4 linked regions of the Saccharomyces cerevisiae S288C genome follow. The protein of the gene in region 1 purifies or fractionates together with the protein of each later gene. This does not show direct contact. Each region holds a gene or a part of one and is shown in the gene's direction. Other genes may lie near its edges.

Region 1 (6,429 bases):
TTCAATTTAGAACAAGAAATGCAGATTATATTCATCTCTCATGAATGATGTACAATTGTATTGTAACAAGGCTGGGACTTTACAGAGAAAAATAATTCTATAATTAGGAAGCGACCCAATTCAAAGACTAAAAAGTAATTTGAAATGGGGTAAAATGGAATAGAGAGGTTCTGTGGAATGTCATATTATGTAATGTTGTAAAGTTAATGGTGTATATTTTGAGAAGCTATTGGCAGAAGGATTAGCGTTGCTAAGAAAATGTTGGATCACTATCGCAGAGGGTTTAAAGAGAATGATTGGAAAAAAATATCTAATTCACTGAAGCAGAATGGGAACTACTATTTAAAAACATGACGTATATACTAGTAATCTTTCAGTCGATCTGGTTGGAAGTACTATAGCAGAACGAGGTACAAAAGAGTGCACATTTATCTTTCTGTTTTATCTTTTTTTTTTGTTCTTCGAGATTGTCTAACAAAACAAAATAAAAGTATACGGACTAAAAGTAAATAAAAAAATATCTTTCATAATATAAAGATATGCATATATACAAATAGCGGGGAAGTATTTTAAACTTTATAGGCAAAAATCTCTTTAAAAAGCTTTGCACAATGAACAGACGCACCCATTCTTGCACACAAAAGAAAAATGCCACTAAATTTTCTATGTAACGAGTATGTTTCCTCTGGTGGCGGACATAGTCTTTCATTCAACATTAACCCGATATTACCTCTAATCCTGTCTGAGACTGTTTGATCCTTGAAATCGAAAGATTTATCTACATCACCCCTAAAAGGTTCACCAAGTGTAAGTACACTATCGACGTGCGCGTCTTTCATGGACTGCGATTCTAAGCCTGTGAGATAGCCCAGTTGTACAGACATTTCGTACGCCCCTTTCCTATCTCTCAATGTGGCGTAAGTTAAAAGTTTTCTATATTTTAGAATAAAATCTTCTGCAAAAGGTCTGGAGGCACCGAAATCCAATAATTCAATTTTCTTTGTCCTACCGTTATAGAGGAAATTTGCCCAATTAGGATCCGTTTGCATATACTTGAAAGTGGCAATTTCTTCCAGACATAGTCTCATGATATTCTCCGAAATAAAATTTTTGGTTTCTTGTGATGCCTTGGGCAATTTCATTATTTCAGTTCCCTCCATACGTGTCATAGTTATAATATTATCGGTTGTATATTCAGGAAACACATGAGGAACCTCAAACGCTGGGTCATCCTTTAGCAACGCCTCAAACTTTTGTAGAGCTCTAGCCTCTCTGTTGTAATCACATTCCCATTTTAACTCAGTTCTAGCGTTGGCAATTGTCTTATCCAAAAATAATCCCTTCGGTAATAAACTTGAGGCTGTAAGTAACATTAGTAAACTATTCAAATCCGAATCAATGGATTCTTTAACCCCAGGATATTGAATTTTGACAACCACTCTTTGACCACTGGGCAACTCTGCCGCATGTACCTGTCCGATACTAGCAGCTGCCATAGGTATCTTGTCAAATTTGGAAAACTTTGTCTTCCAATTAGCACCTAATTCCTTGGCCATAACCTTTTCCAATTGCCTTTGAGGCATATGATTTGCACTATTCTGTACCCTTGATAAAATTTCGTATAATTCCTTTGGCAACACTTTCTCATCCTGAAAAGACAATAGTTGCCCTATTTTAAGGGCAACACCTCTCATTTTAGAAAATTTATTGGTAATTCTGTCAATATTCGAATCTGATAGAATCAAAGATTTCCAAGTGGGAGAATTGCCCTTTGCAACTTCCGATATGCCTTTTGCTGCGGCATTCATGCCCACCCCTGCTGCCAGTGAGCCATAATGGAACAATCTCGATATTCGTGAAGTTGGTACACTGGAACTTTTTAATGTATCCTTTTTTTCCTCCTCATGCTTCCTTTCTACGTTTTCTTCACCTTCTTTGGCAGATTTTGTAGTATATTTCTTACTCAACGATATTGAAGAAACAGAAGAAATTCTCCCGTTCTGTATAGTTCTTAAGAGACGGGATGAACAATACAATCTCCTTAAATTCCTCAATTTCACCATATTTGTAACCATATCGAACGATATCTTAGCCGAACAGGTCCCAATAAGGATGCCAAGGAAGCGTACTGAGTACAGTACCAGAAAGATCTTAACTAATTAAGATCATCTAAAAAAGTACTGGGTACTATTACAGATCTAAAGCTTTACAAATGAATATTACCCGGATCATAGTTTGCTGACTGATAGTATATAGTTATGGACAAATTTCATCATTTTCCAAACTAAGGTCGTTTAGTTTTACGCTCTGTATTCGTTTGCTGTTTCAACTGACAGTATCATTTCGGAGTCCCATAAATCTACCAGATTGCTTTTTATTGATCTAGCGATCTTATACACAAGTCCTTTTTTATTTCTTTTTCTTTTTTTTCGGTGCCTCTGAAAAATTTTCAAATGCGAGATGAGGTGAAAAGAAACTTATTCAATTGTAATATTTAACACGTTTACGGGGATGCGATTGAGTAACGATAGTATAACCTTATAAACGCGCATAGAAAGATTAGGACTGCAAGAATAATAATGGGTTCCAAAAGAAGATTCTCGTCCGAACACCCGGATCCAGTTGAGACCTCTATTCCTGAGCAGGCCGCCGAGATTGCGGAAGAATTATCCAAACAGCATCCTCTTCCATCCGAAGAGCCACTTGTCCATCATGATGCTGGTGAATTCAAGGGCTTGCAACGTCACCATACTTCAGCAGAAGAGGCCCAAAAACTTGAAGATGGAAAAATAAATCCATTTACCGGTAGGGAGTTTACACCAAAATATGTTGATATCCTGAAAATTAGAAGAGAATTGCCAGTACATGCCCAGAGAGATGAGTTTTTAAAACTTTATCAAAATAACCAGATTATGGTTTTTGTTGGTGAAACAGGTTCCGGTAAAACGACACAAATTCCTCAATTCGTTTTATTCGATGAGATGCCACACTTAGAGAACACTCAAGTTGCATGTACTCAACCTCGTCGTGTCGCAGCAATGTCTGTTGCACAGAGAGTTGCTGAGGAAATGGATGTCAAGTTGGGCGAAGAAGTTGGTTATTCTATCAGATTCGAAAATAAAACTTCTAATAAAACGATATTGAAGTATATGACTGATGGTATGTTGTTGAGAGAGGCAATGGAAGACCATGACTTGTCGCGTTATTCATGTATCATTCTGGATGAAGCGCACGAACGTACACTAGCTACTGATATTTTGATGGGTCTTTTGAAGCAAGTAGTCAAGAGGAGACCTGATTTGAAGATAATTATTATGTCTGCTACTCTGGATGCAGAGAAGTTCCAACGCTACTTCAACGATGCTCCATTACTTGCCGTTCCGGGCAGAACATATCCAGTTGAGCTATACTATACACCGGAATTTCAAAGGGACTATTTAGATTCTGCCATTCGTACTGTTTTGCAAATTCATGCCACTGAAGAGGCTGGCGATATTTTGTTATTTTTAACTGGTGAAGATGAAATTGAAGACGCTGTCAGAAAGATTTCCTTAGAAGGTGATCAATTGGTTAGAGAAGAGGGATGCGGACCTTTATCCGTATACCCACTGTATGGTTCATTACCACCGCATCAACAACAAAGAATATTCGAGCCTGCTCCAGAGTCACATAATGGTAGACCAGGCAGGAAAGTTGTTATCTCCACGAACATCGCTGAAACTTCTTTAACAATTGATGGTATTGTCTACGTCGTTGACCCAGGATTTTCAAAGCAAAAAGTTTACAATCCAAGAATTAGAGTTGAGTCTTTACTTGTTTCCCCTATCTCCAAGGCTTCTGCCCAACAAAGAGCTGGTCGTGCTGGTCGTACAAGGCCTGGTAAATGTTTCAGATTATACACTGAAGAGGCATTCCAAAAGGAACTGATAGAGCAAAGTTACCCAGAAATTTTACGTTCCAATTTATCCTCCACCGTTCTAGAACTAAAAAAATTAGGTATTGATGACTTGGTCCATTTCGATTTTATGGATCCACCGGCTCCGGAAACAATGATGAGAGCCCTTGAAGAACTAAATTATTTGGCATGTCTGGACGACGAAGGTAACTTAACACCCCTAGGTAGATTGGCATCCCAGTTTCCCTTGGATCCTATGCTAGCGGTGATGTTAATTGGGTCCTTTGAGTTCCAATGTTCTCAAGAAATACTAACTATAGTGGCCATGCTATCGGTTCCAAACGTGTTTATTCGCCCAACAAAGGACAAGAAGCGAGCAGATGATGCCAAGAATATCTTTGCTCATCCAGACGGTGATCATATCACCTTACTAAATGTATATCATGCGTTCAAATCGGATGAAGCTTATGAATATGGTATCCATAAGTGGTGCCGTGACCACTATCTAAATTACAGGTCCCTTTCCGCTGCTGATAATATCCGCTCCCAATTAGAAAGATTAATGAACCGTTACAACCTAGAATTAAACACTACAGACTATGAAAGCCCTAAATACTTTGACAACATCAGAAAGGCTCTTGCGTCTGGGTTTTTCATGCAAGTAGCAAAAAAAAGATCGGGAGCTAAAGGATACATCACAGTTAAAGATAACCAAGATGTTCTGATCCATCCTAGTACGGTTCTTGGCCACGACGCAGAATGGGTCATTTACAATGAATTTGTGCTCACATCGAAGAACTACATAAGAACTGTGACCTCGGTCAGGCCCGAATGGCTGATTGAAATAGCGCCTGCATACTACGACTTAAGCAATTTCCAAAAAGGTGATGTCAAATTATCTTTGGAAAGGATCAAGGAAAAAGTTGATAGATTAAACGAGTTGAAACAAGGTAAAAACAAAAAGAAGAGTAAGCACTCCAAGAAATAGACATTTTGTGTCGAAAAAAAAAAAAAAATAGATTTATATAAATTTATAGGACTATTTCATAGAGAGAAAATTCAACTAGAAATAGGTACACGTAACCTAAAGCTGCTTGTACTAAAATCATAGCGCCCTGTATCAAAAAGAAGCTTTTTTCTTTTGTTGGGTATGTCTATATAGAGCACATCCTATATTCCCTTCGAGGTGTTTTTACAAGAACAAATAAAGAAACAAACCGCGGTGTGAGGAAGTTCCCTTAAAAATGGCAAAGATTACCGTAAAGGTAAATTACTCCTTTAACGATGCTTAAAACGAGCATCTTACTCTTGCAACGAAATTAATCACTCAATTTCAACGAGGATGTTGGCTTCCCATCAAAGTAGTTTTGGGGTAAACCGCATATATCTGTATATTAAGAAAACTTATTTTCCACTATCTAATTTGAACTACAGAGAAGATAAGAAATCTTTTAAGTAGCAATCATGTTTTATCTAAGTGACATCGAGGAAGAAGCCTCGGCTGGGGCTGAACCAACTTATAATTTCTGGGAAGTTTTGTTATTCTCCAATACTCAAGAAAACCTCGTCACCGTTGTCGGAGAGTTGCACACACTTACCGATCGTGTGGTTCATTACAAAATTGAGCCTGAATCAAGGGAAGTTACTGCCACAACACTGCCATCTTTGTTAGCACTTTTGCTAGAAAAAAGGAACCAGGCGAGACGTTTATATAGGGATGTGCTTTCAATGAAAATGTCAGAACTGGACTGGGACATCGACGATTTGTTCACACAGTTACAAGAAGAGCTAACAAGAACTGATGACACTCTTTCTATGTATCCTAGGAGAAGGTTCTATCACTAGCTTGCTCAACGCGACCTTATACACAGAGTTTAATGTGAAGAGAACATTCATATACAATTATATAAACATTGTTGTATTCTCGTACATCGTTACACAAAATACGAAGCGGGGAAATAGTGATATTCGCTTCGCTGGTGGCAAATGGGAAAAATACAAAATTTTACACATCTTTCTTCCAAATACTTCCATAAAACATCTAAATATAGTGGTTTCTAATTATCTCTGATCATAAGGAAGTGGAAGTACATCAGAAATGTCTCAAGAACAGTACACAGAAAACTTGAAGGTTATCGTTGCCGAAAAACTGGCTGGTATACCAAACTTTAACGAAGATATCAAGTATGTTGCGGAGTATATTGTCTTATTGATCGTTAACGGTGGTACTGTTGAATCTGTCGTAGACGAGCTGGCTAGTTTGTTTGATAGTGTTTCGAGAGATACGCTTGCAAATGTTGTTCAAACAGCCTTTTTCGCATTAGAAGCTCTGCAACAGGGAGAAAGTGCTGAAAATATTGTTTCCAAAATTAGAATGATGAATGCGCAAAGCTTGGGACAATCGGATATCGCACAACAGCAACAACAGCAACAACAACAACAGCAACCAGACATCGCGCAACAGCAACCTCAACAGCAACCTCAACAGCAACCTCAACAGCAACCTCAACAGCAACCTCAACAGCAACCTCAAC
Region 2 (5,003 bases), on another chromosome or scaffold:
CTTTTCCGCAAATATCTGGGGCAGCGAAGCGAAGGGGCCCGATAGGAACTTTTGGGGCGGGAGCCCTTGCATTGACATGGTTAAGGTTTTACATCCATCATTCTCCCCCTCTCTTGTGGTTTAAAAAAATAAAAGGTGGCCGATTTTTATGTAATATAGAAACGACTTCTGTCCTTCTGTCCTCTGTATTACCTAATTTTCTTTCTCTTGATGGTATTTAACTTTCTAAGCATTATAAGATAATATTAAAGGGAAAGTGTTTCTAGAATGCAATCGAGCTTACCTCAATTTACGTTCAAATGGCCCAAAGGACCCGAAGCAATTATTCTGACAGGCACGTTCGACGACTGGAAAGGTACTTTGCCGATGGTGAAGGACCCCAGTGGCGCCTTCGAAATAACGCTGCCAGTAACGTTTGATAGCCCTAGCAGCAAGTTTTATTTCAAGTTTATTGTTGATGGCCAATGGCTGCCAAGCAAAGACTACAAGGTGAACATCGACGAGGGAGTGGAAAACAACTTTATTACCGAGGAAGACGTAATAAAGCAACGCGAAAATGGCTCTAGCACGCTGGTACCTGAAAGTGCCGGATTAGCTGTTTCAAAGAATGCCCCTCTTATCGAACCAGAAGCTGAAAAACGTGCAAAAAAATTAAGAAAGTTCAAGATCAAGAGAGTGATCAAGACAAATAAACAAACCGGAGAAAGGTCGATATTTTCCCAAGAAGTGGTTGAATTGCCCGATAGCGAGGATGAAACCCAGCAGGTGAACAAAACGGGCAAGAATGCGGATGGCTTAAGCGGTACTACAACGATAATTGAGAATAATGTTGGTGTAAACGAGGAAAAAGCAATCAAGCCGTATGAAGAGAATCACCCCAAAGTTAATCTAGTTAAGAGTGAAGGATATGTTACGGACGGTTTGGGTAAGACGCAATCTTCTGAGTCTAGATTATATGAACTATCGGCCGAAGATCTTGAAAAGGAAGAAGAGGAAGAGGACGAAGATAAAGGCGGCGGTAAGGACACCAGTACAAGTGCAGACGCTGAAGCTTCAGAAGATCAAAATAAGGAACCATTAAGTAAATCCGCTAAATTTGAAAAACCGGAAGAAAAAGTACCTGTAAGCTCAATTACAAGCCATGCTAAAGAGACTTCTGTGAAACCAACCGGCAAGGTTGCGACTGAGACTCAAACTTACGAGACGAAACAGGGCGCTCCTACCGCTGCCGCAAAAAAAATCGAAGCTAAGAAAGCTACTAGACCTTCGAAACCTAAGGGCACGAAAGAAACACCAAATAAAGGTGTCCAAAAGAACCCTGCTAAGAATGGAGGGTTCTTTAAAAAGTTGGCCCAGCTTTTGAAGTGAAAACAATCAGGAGAATACCTAAATATATGACGTACTCGCCATACCTAACTATGTAAAACCTAATTATGTATTAATAACAATACCATGTTGTATGTAAACTCTGATGTAGGATCGCACTTTTGCCGAAAGCACATGCTTGTCTTTGTATTTCGCTTGTACGCCTTTGCTCAGAAAATTCTGTAGGAGTCACGTTTCCCGTTGAAATGCAAAAACCTGAAATTTTTCAGTCTGAAAGAAAAAATTGCGATGAGCATAGATGATAAATTTAACCATACAACAAAGAGAAATCCTTTTCCCCACAGAACATTACCTAAACCCAACAACTTTCTATAATTTGAGATAGAATGTCAGAAACAGAACTGTCGAAAGAAGATGCTGTTACAAAAAAGGATAACGAGGAACAAGTCAAGAAGGCTTTACTCGATCCAACAAAAAAGAGAAAAGCTGAAGATGAAATTGAGATTGACCTGAAAAGCTCCATTCCCCTATCAAAAAAACAGAAACGTCTCTTGAGAAGAGGTAAAGTTACTCTAGAGGAGTTGAATGCGAAGTACAATATCGACCCTAAGTCAATCGAGGAATACAAAGAAGATGCTGAAAAGAAAAAGTCTGGTGCTTCTGAGAAAGACGCCCAGGGTGAAGAATCTACAATCAACACTCCAACAGGAGATGAATCTGGCGAGGTTGTAAAAAAGAAGAAGAAAGATGAAAATAAATATGGTGTTTGGATTGGTAACTTATCCTTCGACACCACAAAGGACGATTTAGTAAGATTTTTTATTGCTAAAACAAAAGACAACGAAGATGAAAAGAGCAGAGTCACCGAACAAGACATAACCAGGTTATCCATGCCTCGTGTTGCTGCCAAGAACTCTAACGCCATGAAAAATAAGGGATTTTGCTACATGTTTTTCAAGAACGTCGAGCAGATGAAAGCGGTCTTAGAATTATCTGAATCTCATTTAAACGGAAGGAATATGCTAATCAAGGACTCCGAAAATTATTCAGGTAGGCCAGACAAGGACGATTTAGTTGCCATGTCCAAAAATCCACCGTCAAGGATTCTATTTGTCGGTAATTTGTCATTCGATGTCACAGATGATCTGTTAAGAAAACACTTCCAACATTGTGGTGATATCGTGAAAATCCGCATGGCAACATTCGAAGATAGTGGTAAATGTAAAGGATTCGCATTTATCGACTTCAAGAATGAAGAAGGATCTACTAATGCATTAAAGGATAAAAGTTGTAGAAAAATTGCCGGAAGGCCATTGCGAATGGAATACGGTGAAGATAGAAGTAAAAGACAAGTTCGTAAGAAGGTTGAAAATGTATCCAGAAACAATTCCTCATCATTTGATATCTCTAACAACAAAGGATACGATCGTGCGGGACAGGATAACGGCAGCAAACCCGAATACAAGCGGTCCAACGCCAACAGACGTCCACCTGTAGATTCCAATAACCGAACTAAGAGCAGTGTAGCTTTAGCCACTGCTCAGAGAGGTTCTGCAGCTATTGTCCCATCACAAGGTAAGAAAGTGAAGTTTGACTAATCAGCGTGAACTGACTGTAGGTGCCACGTATATAATGCGATTATTTCGCTTGTAAATTATTCAATCATTCATGTTTTATATATACATTGTATAACCAATTGCTGCTATTTTTATTTTTTCCATTATTGCTTATCAAGGCACGGGGAGAACGCACGGAAAAAAAAAAAAAAAAGAAGAAAGAAATGAGGTAAACAAGATCTTTAGGAGCGGTTCGCATATTAGTAATACACTGATAATCGCCGTACACTCATAAAATCCTAAACTACTCACCAGGTACCGAAACACTACTGATCCGTTTTTTGGACTGGTTGTTGGCACACTTTCGCTTAAGACACACATTTAGTATTTCAATCCCCATCCGTCGATATCTGAAGGAAATCTAAAAGAAAAGCTGGATAGAGTAATTATTTTGGCCATCGTATGAACTCCAATAGTACCATCGGAAGGACCACCCTTGGAGAATCTGATACGATATCCCTGTCATTCAGTGAACCAAGTAGCAGTCTGAATTCACGATCAACGGATGTTGTCTTCGCATCTACTTCAACTTTAGTACCCCAACAAGGAAGTCTGACCTCATTACCGCCCGTGTCTAGTACAGCTACTCCTACATATTATTCTACAAGCTTAACATATGATGAGACTTTGCATACATCCATTGATGTATCTTCGACAAGTACTTTAGTATCATCTACCGACAGCAGTTCATCGAGCGAGCAAGATACGTATAGTTCCCAATATGACCCAGCTACCTCCTCATACTCAATAATTACACCATCCATGTCCATTTTCTCATCGACGTCACCAATGTCATCATCGTCGTCAATAACGTCGGAATGGTCATCGTTAACATCAACAACACCAACGTTATCGTCATCAGCTACATCGCTGTCATCATCATGGTCGTCGTTATCATCACCATCTTCGTTACTGGTATCGTCCTCGTTGTCATTATCACTATCTTCATCATATTCAGACACTAAATTGTTTTCGTTCGACAGCAGATCTTCTATTTTCTCACCATCAACACCCACCGTAATATCCCCTAGTTACACATACTTGTCTTCCATATCTGCAACTTCATTTCAAATTAGTACCACTTCAGAACTCTCTTCTAGTTGGTTCTCAACAATTTCTTCTCCTTCTACGATATCAAATAAAGATACCACATTCCCAAGTTCCAGTCGGAATACTTCCACATCGTTTTACAGTTCATCGCTTTCATCGACGAACGATTTTTCAACCATAAGCAAATCATCGAAACTCAGTCCATCAGCTTCATCTTCGACAGTTTCCATAAGCACGATTTCCGTGCCAACGTCAAGTTCTGTTAGCTCATCCAGCAGTAAAGTACCTTCAAACCGTCCTTCATCATCATCATCATCAGATGATACAACAAGTGCTTACTCAAGCACGTATACTTTTCAGTCCTTACAATCTACTACTAGCAGCAGTATACCACCCACCACTCAAACACCCAGCACTAGTACGATTTCTACGTCTCCCATACCAACATCCAGTCAGGTCTTCAATACGGTAGCCATTTCAAGCTCCGAAGATTCAAAAACTATTTATTATTTCTATACCCAAACATATGATATTACTGACTCCTCTACAACGTTCGTGACGGGATTACCTACGACCATAGCAGTTGCAAAAAGTGAGGTAACCTCATTTTCCGCTCCATCTTCGACGATCACAGCTGACATGTCTTTCTATCAGCACTGGCTTGATGGCAGTTTGGATAATAACAAAAACCAAGGCACTTCAAAGACAAATACTGGTACCATTGTTGGAAGTGTGGTAGGAAGCGTCGGTGGTATTCTTATATGTGTACTAGTAGTTTGGTTCATGCTGGTTAGAAAAAGGAAGGCAAAGAGGCATTTCAAGGAAAACGATTCCTTCTGTCACGAGATTGGGCGCAGAACGGGATTCCCAACAACTGCCCAAGCAAAAGAGGCGTCACTTCAAGCTCAAGACTCGGGATCACAGCAACGAAACACCGAGACTGCTTCTGCTAATAATCCGTTCAGCAACGAATTCAATTTTAAGGCAAGAGGAAATCCTCCTCCAGTGCCA
Region 3 (6,282 bases), on another chromosome or scaffold:
ATAAATACGACAACTTCCCCATTGTATTGAAAAATTCTGGTGCTATCAAAAGCAACACATATTCTTTGTATTTGAACGACTCGGACGCTATGCATGGCACCATTTTGTTCGGAGCCGTGGACCACAGTAAATATACCGGCACCTTATACACAATCCCCATCGTAAACACTCTGAGTGCTAGTGGATTTAGCTCTCCCATTCAATTTGATGTCACTATTAATGGTATCGGTATTAGTGATTCTGGGAGTAGTAACAAGACCTTGACTACCACTAAAATACCTGCTTTGTTGGATTCCGGTACTACTTTGACTTATTTACCTCAAACAGTGGTAAGTATGATCGCTACTGAACTAGGTGCGCAATACTCTTCCAGGATAGGGTATTACGTATTGGACTGTCCATCTGATGATAGTATGGAAATAGTGTTCGATTTTGGTGGTTTTCACATCAATGCACCACTTTCGAGTTTTATCTTGAGTACTGGCACTACATGTCTTTTAGGTATTATCCCAACGAGTGATGACACAGGTACCATTTTGGGTGATTCATTTTTGACTAACGCGTACGTGGTTTATGATTTGGAGAATCTTGAAATATCCATGGCACAAGCTCGCTATAATACCACAAGCGAAAATATCGAAATTATTACATCCTCTGTTCCAAGCGCCGTAAAGGCACCAGGCTATACAAACACTTGGTCCACAAGTGCATCTATTGTTACCGGTGGTAACATATTTACTGTAAATTCCTCACAAACTGCTTCCTTTAGCGGTAACCTGACGACCAGTACTGCATCCGCCACTTCTACATCAAGTAAAAGAAATGTTGGTGATCATATAGTTCCATCTTTACCCCTCACATTAATTTCTCTTCTTTTTGCATTCATCTGAAAACCGTTGCACAAAGTTTAGACATTCACATCTCCAAGCCAGTTGGAGTTTCTGGCGGAAATCGTTGCTCTCGCTTGGGCAAAGTTTTTTTTTATTATTAATTTTTTATTGTTACGTTGGCGGTCTTCATTTTTACTTCACAATAGTTTATCTTACCCACTAAGAATAGGTTACCATTTATTCACATTTTTTTTTCTCATTCCTAGTATACTATTTACCTGGGATATGGCCTATAATCAAAGGCTTTAATATTCTAATAATTCGTTTGGCATCTAGAATAATCTATAAAGTATAGTCTATATACGTACATATTGATAATGGCGGTAGCTGCTGAACTAGTATTTCAAATTACCTTGTTTATCCCAGGTCGCCAGTTTCTCTCTCCTCAAGTGATATTGTGTTCGTATGTCCAGATAATTTTTGATGAACTGATCCAGGTCATCGGCTGAGTCAATGGACCTTGTGGTAGTTTCTAGCTGTGAACTCTCCTCATCAAGTTTCTTTGTGTTTTGTTCTAATTTCTTTTTTAATGCTATGTCACCATATTTTTTTGAAAATTCGGAATGGTAATCTTGCCAGCTAGCTACATATTTGGATTCTAAAATCCTACAGTTTTCTAATAAGGCTTGGACCTTATCTTTTTGCTCATGTAAATCTTCAAAATTTTCTTCCAATTGTTTAAATTGATCTCTGAATGCATGAATCTTTCCAGCAAAGTCCGTTAAGGGATTGAATTTTGTGACGTATAACTCTAATTGGTGTCTGTGGGTTTGAATTAGATCGATTATCTCCTTTGATGATAAAAGGTTAATTCCTTCAGGTAAGGGAATATTTTTGCTTTTTTCGTTTACTTTTTCTGGTAAACCCGGAGATGGTACCACATCCATTTCTGCTCTGATAATATCTAATCTGCTTATATTGAGCCCCTTATTTTTCCTTCGTTGTTTTATCCTTAGTTTTGTAGCCTTTACTTTCATATTTCCTTCTTTTCAGAACGCCTATTCTAGGGAAAAATGGCTTCTGTATGAAATAAAAATGTTAGCAAAAGAGAACGAAAATAAGAACACATACACTATATTTGCCCATTTGAGCGCTATCGAATATGAATGGACTTAGAGTTGCAGCAAAAATTCAGCCAGCACGCCAAACTATCATATTCTTGCATGGATTAGGTGATACAGGTTCGGGATGGGGATTTTTAGCTCAGTATTTACAACAGAGAGACCCTGCCGCTTTCCAGCATACTAATTTTGTTTTTCCTAATGCTCCAGAGCTTCATGTGACAGCAAACGGCGGTGCATTGATGCCTGCTTGGTTTGACATCTTGGAATGGGATCCTAGTTTTTCCAAAGTTGACAGTGACGGTTTTATGAATTCTTTGAATTCCATAGAAAAGACGGTTAAGCAAGAAATTGATAAAGGAATTAAACCGGAGCAGATTATTATCGGAGGTTTCTCTCAGGGTGCCGCATTAGCTCTCGCAACATCAGTTACTTTACCATGGAAAATCGGTGGTATAGTAGCTCTGTCGGGATTTTGTTCCATCCCAGGAATTCTGAAACAACATAAGAATGGCATTAATGTAAAGACACCAATTTTTCATGGGCATGGTGACATGGATCCAGTAGTTCCTATTGGACTAGGTATAAAGGCAAAACAGTTCTATCAAGATAGCTGTGAGATACAAAATTATGAATTTAAAGTATACAAAGGTATGGCCCATTCTACAGTTCCAGATGAATTAGAAGACTTGGCTTCATTTATCAAGAAGAGCTTATCATCATAGCTCTTTTCCTAATATTGCGAGTTCAATTTAACCGCTATTATACTTGGTTAAATAATTTATATACATCCGTAAGACGCGATAGAAAATTAAAAACCTTGGTGCCAAATAGTTGGGGTGATGAGACTCATTGATTATGCAAGTTCATAATAGATAGACAAACTTGAGCTAAAAGTACTCTACTATTGCCAGCATGGACACTTTAGAGCCAACAGCCGTTGATACGCATGTTTCTGCGGAGCAGATTCTGCGGGATGTGTACAAGAAGGGGCAAAAAGCAAGAGGATCGACTAATATTGATATATTAGACTTGGAGGAACTTCGAGAGTATCAACGAAGGAAGAGAACAGAATATGAGGGTTATTTGAAGAGAAACCGACTGGATATGGGACAATGGATTCGTTATGCGCAATTCGAAATCGAACAACACGACATGAGGCGCGCCAGATCTATCTTTGAAAGAGCATTATTAGTAGATAGTTCATTCATCCCCCTTTGGATACGATACATTGATGCTGAGCTGAAAGTCAAATGTATTAACCATGCTAGGAATCTTATGAACAGAGCTATTAGTACGTTGCCCAGAGTAGACAAGTTATGGTACAAGTATCTCATTGTCGAAGAGTCGTTAAACAACGTTGAAATTGTACGATCACTGTACACCAAATGGTGCTCCTTGGAGCCAGGGGTTAATGCATGGAATTCTTTCGTGGATTTTGAAATAAGACAGAAAAACTGGAACGGTGTAAGAGAGATTTACTCAAAATACGTCATGGCTCACCCGCAAATGCAGACATGGCTAAAGTGGGTGAGGTTTGAAAATAGACATGGTAATACTGAATTTACGAGAAGTGTGTATTCTTTAGCGATAGACACAGTAGCTAACCTCCAAAATTTACAGATTTGGTCTGATATGGAGGTTGCAAAATTAGTAAATTCATTTGCTCATTGGGAAGCTGCGCAGCAAGAATACGAAAGATCTAGTGCTCTTTATCAAATTGCTATAGAAAAATGGCCCTCCAATCAATTGCTCAAGGCAGGACTGTTGGATTTTGAAAAGCAGTTTGGTGACATAAACTCAATAGAAGAAACTATTAGCTATAAAAGGAAAATGGAGTATGAAACAATATTGAGTAATAACGCCTATGATTATGACACCTGGTGGCTGTACTTGGATCTCATTTCAGAAAGTTTCCCCAAACAAATAATGCAAACTTTCGAGAAAGCTATTGTGGACAGCCGACCAAAAGAACTATCAAAAAATGTTCAGTGGAAAAGGTATATTTATCTGTGGATGAGATATATATGCTATGTTGAGTTAGAATTGGAAAATTCGCTTTTAGAAGAAGAACTTTTTCAGAGGTTAATTGACGACATCATCCCTCATAAACATTTCACTTTTTCCAAAATATGGCTAATGTATGCTAAATTTCTGATACGACATGATGATGTACCGAAGGCGAGAAAAATTTTGGGTAAAGCAATCGGTTTATGTCCTAAGGCTAAAACTTTCAAAGGATATATCGAGTTGGAAGTGAAGTTGAAGGAATTTGATCGTGTGAGAAAAATATATGAGAAATTTATTGAATTTCAGCCCTCTGATCTACAAATTTGGTCACAATATGGAGAACTAGAAGAAAATTTAGGAGATTGGGATAGAGTAAGAGGTATATATACAATTGCACTAGATGAAAATTCTGATTTCTTAACAAAGGAGGCTAAAATTGTATTACTTCAAAAATACATAACATTTGAGACAGAATCACAAGAATTTGAAAAGGCAAGGAAGCTTTATAGAAGATATTTGGAGCTCAACCAATATTCCCCCCAAAGCTGGATCGAATTCGCCATGTATCAAACTTCAACCCCGACGGAGCAACAACTATTAGATTTAGCAAAACTGCAAAGCGAAAATGTGGATGAAGACATAGAGTTTGAAATTACCGATGAGAATAAATTGGAGGCAAGAAAAGTTTTTGAAGAGGCGATAGTTTTTTTCAAGGAGAAGGATGATAAACAAGGGAGACTGTCTATTTTGGAAGCGCTAAAAGACTATGAAGAAACTTACGGTACTGAACTCGATCAAGAAACCGTCAAGAAAAGATTCCCTAAAGTAATCAAAAAAGTGAGGTTACAGAACGGTGTGGAAGAAGAATTCGTGGATTACATTTTTCCTGATGATATCGATGATGACAAGCCAAAACCATCAAAGTTCTTGGAACTAGCCAAAAAATGGAAACAGGAACAGGCACTTTGAATAAAGGTAAGGGTATCGTGAAATAATATTTTTGTCATTGTAGTTCAGGCCGTAGAAACTAAACAGTAGTAGAATAAGCTAGTAAGTAAATTAAATATCAAAAGTTAATAATAACCAGGAAGGCAAAAAACCAACAAAAAAAGGAACTATGCAAAATAGAGACTACATACCTTCAACACAAATAAAAAAAAATGCAGATATTGTATAATGGGAGTGTATTATAATCCGGGAGGCCCTTGCAGTCCCGGAGGTGTAGGTTTGTTAATGTCATTGCCCATGTTATTAGAAAACCCTGGAGGACCGCTTAGGCCAGGAGGAGGTGCAATTGAGGATTGTACCGTAGTCATACCGGGAGGTGGAGGTAGCGAAAATTTCGGTTGTTCCGACTCTGGAGGGCTTTGTAATGGGGGAGGGGCGATTCCTGGAACTCCGGAACTAAAGCTACTTGATGTTAGGCCGGGAGGGGGTGTAGGCGTCACGTTTTGAGCTTGCCTCGAAATATGTGACGCAGGAGGTGAAGGTGATGGTGCATAACGTGAAGAAGCCGGAAATTTTAAAGGAGGTTCCGTCGAGTTATTGTCATAACGAGATCTTTTTGGTGCTTGAATTGGATGAGTATTGCTATTATAGTGTACGTCATTGCTCTGTATTGGCGCAGAATTATTTACCGTGGCGTTTCTGTCAAAACGGCTCATTCTTTGAGACGATGAGTTACAGTCTCTACTGAAATGTCCAGTTTGTCCACATATTTTGCAAACAATGCCCTGTATATTTGGGATTTTTCTGTTTGGACAATCGTACCTTTTATGATCTTTTAAACCACAGATTGGACAGGGCCTGTTATCTTCTCTTAAAGTACCATTAAGTTCCGCCAATTCTCTCAGTTGTCCTCGTTTCAAGTCATTCTGGCCTTCCGGAGATGTCACCGCTTTGATAACAATGTTTTGACAAACTTTTATACCTTTTTGGATCTTGTCTTCCGAGTCTGCGATAATTAAACAGTGCAAGGGGTCCTCAAAGTTCATGGCGCCTGGAGGTAAGTCACTTGCATTCTTACCTTCTTTGACTGAACCTCTTCCTCTAATTGCAATCTTACAATTCGAATCTTCTTGCAGCTTTCTTAACGTACGTCCACGAGGACCTAATAATAAACCAACAAAATTGACATCAGGATACTGATCCACCGGGATATAATACTTGTCCTGAAATTTGGTAGGTCTCTTGTAATCATCCGGAGGAACGAAGTAAGGGATGGTCTTTAGGGCTATCTCAACAAGTTTAATACGTTCATCCTCTAGTTTCTTTCTATACCTCTGCTCACGGGTATTCGTTCTTTTACCTTGGGCATCATA
Region 4 (5,082 bases), 520 kb from region 1:
TTTTTTTATATTCATGAATATTAGTGCGTATTTACAGTGAAAAGCAATCGTCCAGAAATGCATAAACGAAGAATCGATATATAAAACACATTGTATTATAAACTAAGTAACACGTCATCTTCTGCACCTCCCATTGCGACTTCTTTGAGTTCAATCTGTAAGCTAATCGTATGCCGTTTTTCAAACGTGTTTGAGTAGAAAAGTAGCCACCATATGTGCACGGTGAGCACAAAACGTATAGCTCGCATCAGGCGTTCACCAGCCTTGAATTCGGCTCTGTCTCAAGGAAGGATTAGTACTCGGACACGCCGTCGCCGTCTCTTGCAATAAGTCCATGTTCTTGCTCTGGAATAAGGTGAACTCTTTAAGTATTTTCTCTTCTAGGCTCAGTTCTCCGAGTTGTAGGGCAAAATCAACCATGCCACTACTGCCATGATCGCTGCTTGTGCCAGTAGCATCACCTATGAAGCCCTGATCGGCTTGAATATTTGCGAAATGTGCATTCGAAGAAAGATGGTTGAAGTATCCAGACATAATGCTGTATAATGTTGACTATAATCGGTTGTTTTAGCTCTGTGGTATACTACAGATGTGCTAAAATATGCCGAAATCACCACAATATACAATAAATACGATATCATCATGGACGCATGCACGACATATTACAAGGCGGGGGAAAGAAGAAACGGAGCGCCAGAGCCACAACGAGGAAGCGGGTTTGTGGCTCTCACATCACAGCCCGCCCCTACCAAGATCGTAAGCAACGTGTTCAACACGTACCAAAAAACCATAATGGCAAGCCAGCGTTTACCTCACCCGCGGATGACACATCCTGCTCTTACATATGATCGCGGGCTGTCCACAAAAAACAACCTGGAAATACCAAATTTGGCAGCTACCGCGGAGTAGTGGTCATGACGGAGAGAGTTGCCAAAAAGTGACTGACTCGACTCCCCTCACAGCCCGGATCAATTTTTCCATGCGTTTCCACGGAAATCCGAGGTTTGCCGTTAGAGTCCCAAATTGGCGATGGATGATGAGATAATGCGCCCTTATCAATCACGCTAAAAATTGCCCCACGCTGTACTCAACGATCATAGCTGGCTATTGTTATCGTTGGCTTAGATGGTTTCGCCCGTACAAAAATAGACTTGCATATATATAAAGCTTATCTTCGGCCTCAGTCGTCTAAAAAACTATCTTGCCTAACATTATCTTGTCTTCTTTTCGTTCCCTTGAATCATATATAAGAAAAGATAATCAATCATTCGGCTATTTTCTTACAGATACATACATACGTATAATTCATCAATCATAGCATTAATAGAAGATAAAGTATAATGATCGCTACCTCCAGAGCCGTAAACATGAATAAAGAATCAAAACACAAGAAGGCTGTTGCCAAACCATGCAGAGAGAGACAAACTTCAGTTACAAGAGCCATGAGACCAGCTGTAGCACGTGATCCTCGCAGACTTTCGACGTCGTCGTCTCCTTCTTCGTCACCAATGTCAGCACAGAGAAGGCTTTCGAGGGAAGAAATAATAAACGAAATGGAAAAGGAGCAAGACGCTATTGTAGTAAGACTTCTACGGGAAATTGAAACTTTAAAAGAAGAAAACTCTAGGTTAAAAAATCAACTGCACCATCCGGTCCCGGCTAGAAGGTCGTCTCCATTTTTCGAAGGCGAGTCTGCCATCCTAGATGATGATGACTGCAATTATGGTTACACCCTCGACACTCCAAAGCTAAAGCTCACAGATGGTGCATCCAGACACACCGTACTTCCCTTAACACCCAAGGACTCCATGACCCACATTTCCCATTCCGCCAGAAGGTCAAGCCGGAACGCTTCCATATCTAACGGAACAAGCATCTCAGACACGATTTTCCCCATTGAGACTAAAATCCACTCAGCACCAACAACAAACAGAAACCTTCCCTCCGCCGATCTTCCACATCACACTCTTCTTCCACGTTCTCTAAGCGGCATTTCGTCTAGCGATTTAACCGAATCCGGTGCTCTTCTTCATGACAGGAGAAGGCGTTCTTCCAATTACAGTCTCGATGGCTCAAACTCTTTAAAGGCTGATCTCATGGCAAAGAGATTCCAAACTGGTTCATTGAAATAGGCTGTAAGCGAGATACATAAGAAAACAGAGTTTCTCTAAATATATTCTTCCTATTGATCTTTGGCAATCCAACACATATGCAGTTCGTGCACTTGCGTTATAAGCGTGACTTCTCGCTTGGTTTTTTTTTATAATTTTTTTTTAAAACCTCATTCTAAGTACAACTTTGGCGTTTTTCCAAGCTACTACTTATAATTATATGGTTTATTTCATAAATATATATATATATATATATATATATAGAAAATCAATATACATTTAAGCCTTACTGGAGATGACACTATTTTTGTTCACATTTTTTCTTATGCTCTAAATACCTCGGCCTCATACGCAGAGACAGTGTTGATATGTTTTTATACAAAGTAAAGGCAAAGAGAAGGCACAGACAGGATTTCACAGGCAGCTAAGTAATAACGAATATGCTTGCTTCACATATTTTGCCGCCAAATTACACGCTATGGAGCTACGTTCTACTAGTGGTTACTTACCGCTAGCTATTTAAACCCCATCACGTTGATTGTCTATTTCGCTATAGGTTATTTTGCCAAGAAAACTTACTGGGCAATACTTACATCCATTCAGATTTTTGGATAAAGCAATTGAAGAAAGACGACAGCAATTCGACTGGTGGTTGTTAATTACCCTTTGATCCTCTGATTTAAAGACGTAATCCTTCCTGGGGGTAAGTGCCTGATGTATGGGTCCCCATGCCCTTTTTTTTCGTTTCTTTTTTCACTCCATTTCTTTTTTTTTTTTTTTTTTTGGTGAAAAATTTGCAAGGGCAGCTCATCGCAAGAACGAAAATTTTCAATCCAATATTAAAAGTACTTAAGTGTAGCTGTTGCTGTCTGCACTTCCCAATCCATTGGTACCTTAAGTTATTTCCTTTCGTAGTATTTTTCTTACTTTTGCTTCCCAAAGACGAACTGTTAACCAATTTCGGATCACTCAACCCAGGCAGGATAAAATAAGATGGCTAAGACTACTAAAGTAAAAGGTAACAAGAAGGAAGTTAAGGCTTCCAAACAAGCCAAAGAAGAAAAAGCTAAGGCCGTCTCTTCCTCTTCCTCCGAATCTTCATCCTCATCTTCATCTTCATCTGAATCTGAATCTGAGTCTGAGTCTGAATCTGAATCTTCATCTTCATCTTCATCCTCTGATTCTGAATCCTCTTCTTCATCGTCTTCTGACAGCGAAAGTGAAGCTGAAACCAAGAAGGAAGAATCCAAGGATTCCTCTTCCTCTTCCTCTGACTCTTCTTCCGACGAAGAAGAAGAAGAAGAAAAAGAAGAAACCAAGAAGGAAGAATCAAAAGAATCTTCTAGCTCTGATTCATCCTCATCTTCATCTTCTGATAGCGAAAGCGAAAAGGAAGAGTCTAACGATAAGAAACGTAAATCTGAGGACGCCGAAGAAGAAGAAGACGAAGAGTCTTCCAACAAGAAGCAAAAAAATGAAGAAACCGAAGAACCAGCTACTATTTTCGTTGGTAGACTATCGTGGTCTATTGATGACGAATGGTTGAAGAAGGAATTCGAACACATCGGTGGTGTCATTGGTGCCAGAGTTATTTATGAAAGAGGTACCGATAGATCTCGTGGTTATGGTTACGTTGATTTTGAAAACAAATCTTATGCTGAAAAGGCCATTCAAGAAATGCAAGGTAAGGAAATTGATGGTAGACCAATCAACTGTGATATGTCCACAAGCAAGCCAGCTGGTAACAACGATCGTGCCAAGAAATTCGGTGATACCCCATCTGAACCATCTGACACTTTGTTCTTGGGTAACTTATCTTTCAATGCTGACAGAGACGCTATTTTCGAATTATTCGCTAAACACGGTGAAGTTGTTTCCGTCCGTATCCCAACACATCCAGAAACTGAACAACCAAAAGGTTTCGGTTATGTTCAATTCTCCAACATGGAGGACGCCAAGAAGGCTCTAGACGCTTTACAAGGTGAATACATTGACAACAGACCAGTTAGATTAGACTTCTCTTCTCCAAGACCAAACAACGATGGTGGTCGTGGCGGTAGCCGTGGTTTTGGTGGTCGTGGCGGTGGTCGTGGCGGTAACCGTGGATTCGGTGGTCGTGGTGGCGCTCGCGGTGGCCGTGGCGGTTTCAGACCATCTGGTTCTGGTGCTAATACTGCTCCATTGGGCAGATCAAGAAATACCGCTTCTTTCGCTGGTTCAAAGAAAACATTTGATTAATGAGAAAATGAAATGAATTTCAATTTCAATTTTTTCTCTTTTTACGTTAATTACTATATTCCATTTTTGAGGAAAAATTTGGTCTATAATATTTTGTGTACATTAGTAAGTAAATAGGATACATTCTTAAACCTTTCATTCACCATCTCTATTTGCCAACTTTTCTTCGAATGGCTTACTCTTTTTTTTTTCACGATGAGATGAGATCGCTAGATACGGAAGATTACAAGGCCTTGGAAAATACTCAAAAAATTTCAGTAATATGAAATGAATATCTAAATAAAAGCTTGGGCGTTGTGCTTGATTGAGCCACGAAAACTTCCTTTAAGGATTAGCACATACTCCACTTAAAAGTAGGAACATACTCACATTAAGGTGTTATCAGAATAAATGAATGTTCAAGACAGAAGGAGGTTATTAGGCCCTGCTGCTGCCAAGCCAATGGCGTTTAGCAACACTACTACTCATGTGCCAGAAAAGAAATCAACAGATTTGACACCTAAAGGCAATGAAAGTGAACAGGAACTTTCTCTACATACCGGTTTCATCGAAAACTGCAATGGATCTGCATTAGTAGAAGCTAGAAGCTTAGGACACCAAACATCGCTCATTACCGCTGTCTATGGACCACGCTCCATTAGAGGATCCTTCACATCTCAAGGTACTATATCTATTCAGTTAAAGAACGGTCTTCTGGAAAAATATAACACAAATGAACTGAAGGAAGTTAGCA

Evidence for each region.
Region 2: the proteins of PRP43 (region 1) and NOP13 purify together in Saccharomyces cerevisiae (affinity purification with mass spectrometry, with the first as the bait; one study listed by BioGRID). This does not show direct contact.
Region 3: the proteins of PRP43 (region 1) and CLF1 purify together in Saccharomyces cerevisiae (affinity purification with mass spectrometry, with the first as the bait; 3 studies listed by BioGRID). This does not show direct contact.
Region 4: the proteins of PRP43 (region 1) and NSR1 purify together in Saccharomyces cerevisiae (affinity purification with mass spectrometry, with the first as the bait; one study listed by BioGRID). This does not show direct contact.

The regions. Positions count from the first base shown.
Region 1 is NC_001139.9:280,088-286,516, reverse strand, and holds PRP43 (DEAH-box ATP-dependent RNA helicase PRP43), read left to right. Parts: upstream 1-2,579; coding exon 2,580-4,883; downstream 4,884-6,429. Other genes in the region: protein kinase COQ8, read right to left, coding at 570-2,075; GPG1 (Gpg1p), read left to right, coding at 5,360-5,740; mRNA-binding protein NAB2, read left to right, coding at 5,994-6,429. UniProt on the Saccharomyces cerevisiae protein: Pre-mRNA processing factor involved in disassembly of spliceosomes after the release of mature mRNA.
Region 2 is NC_001146.8:305,322-310,324, reverse strand, and holds NOP13 (Nop13p), read left to right. Parts: upstream 1-1,712; coding exon 1,713-2,924; downstream 2,925-5,003. Other genes in the region: MDG1 (Mdg1p), read left to right, coding at 268-1,368; TDA7 (Tda7p), read left to right, coding at 3,345-5,003.
Region 3 is NC_001144.5:381,119-387,400, reverse strand, and holds CLF1 (Clf1p), read left to right. Parts: upstream 1-2,866; coding exon 2,867-4,930; downstream 4,931-6,282. Other genes in the region: YPS1 (aspartyl protease), read left to right, coding at 1-890; ESCRT-I subunit protein SRN2, read right to left, coding at 1,226-1,867; TML25 (palmitoyl-(protein) hydrolase), read left to right, coding at 1,993-2,676; mRNA splicing protein MSL5, read right to left, coding at 5,149-6,282. UniProt on the Saccharomyces cerevisiae protein: Involved in pre-mRNA splicing and cell cycle progression. Required for the spliceosome assembly by promoting the functional integration of the U4/U6.U5 tri-snRNP particle into the U1-, U2-dependent pre-spliceosome.
Region 4 is NC_001139.9:805,679-810,760, reverse strand, and holds NSR1 (Nsr1p), read left to right. Parts: upstream 1-3,104; coding exon 3,105-4,349; downstream 4,350-5,082. Other genes in the region: YGR161W-C (uncharacterized protein), read right to left, coding at 256-534; RTS3 (Rts3p), read left to right, coding at 1,341-2,132; exosome non-catalytic core subunit MTR3, read left to right, coding at 4,740-5,082. UniProt on the Saccharomyces cerevisiae protein: Involved in pre-rRNA processing. Specifically binds nuclear localization sequences. Candidate for a receptor at the nucleus that may be involved in both RNA and protein transport. Binds telomeric sequences of the type (TG[1-3])n in vitro.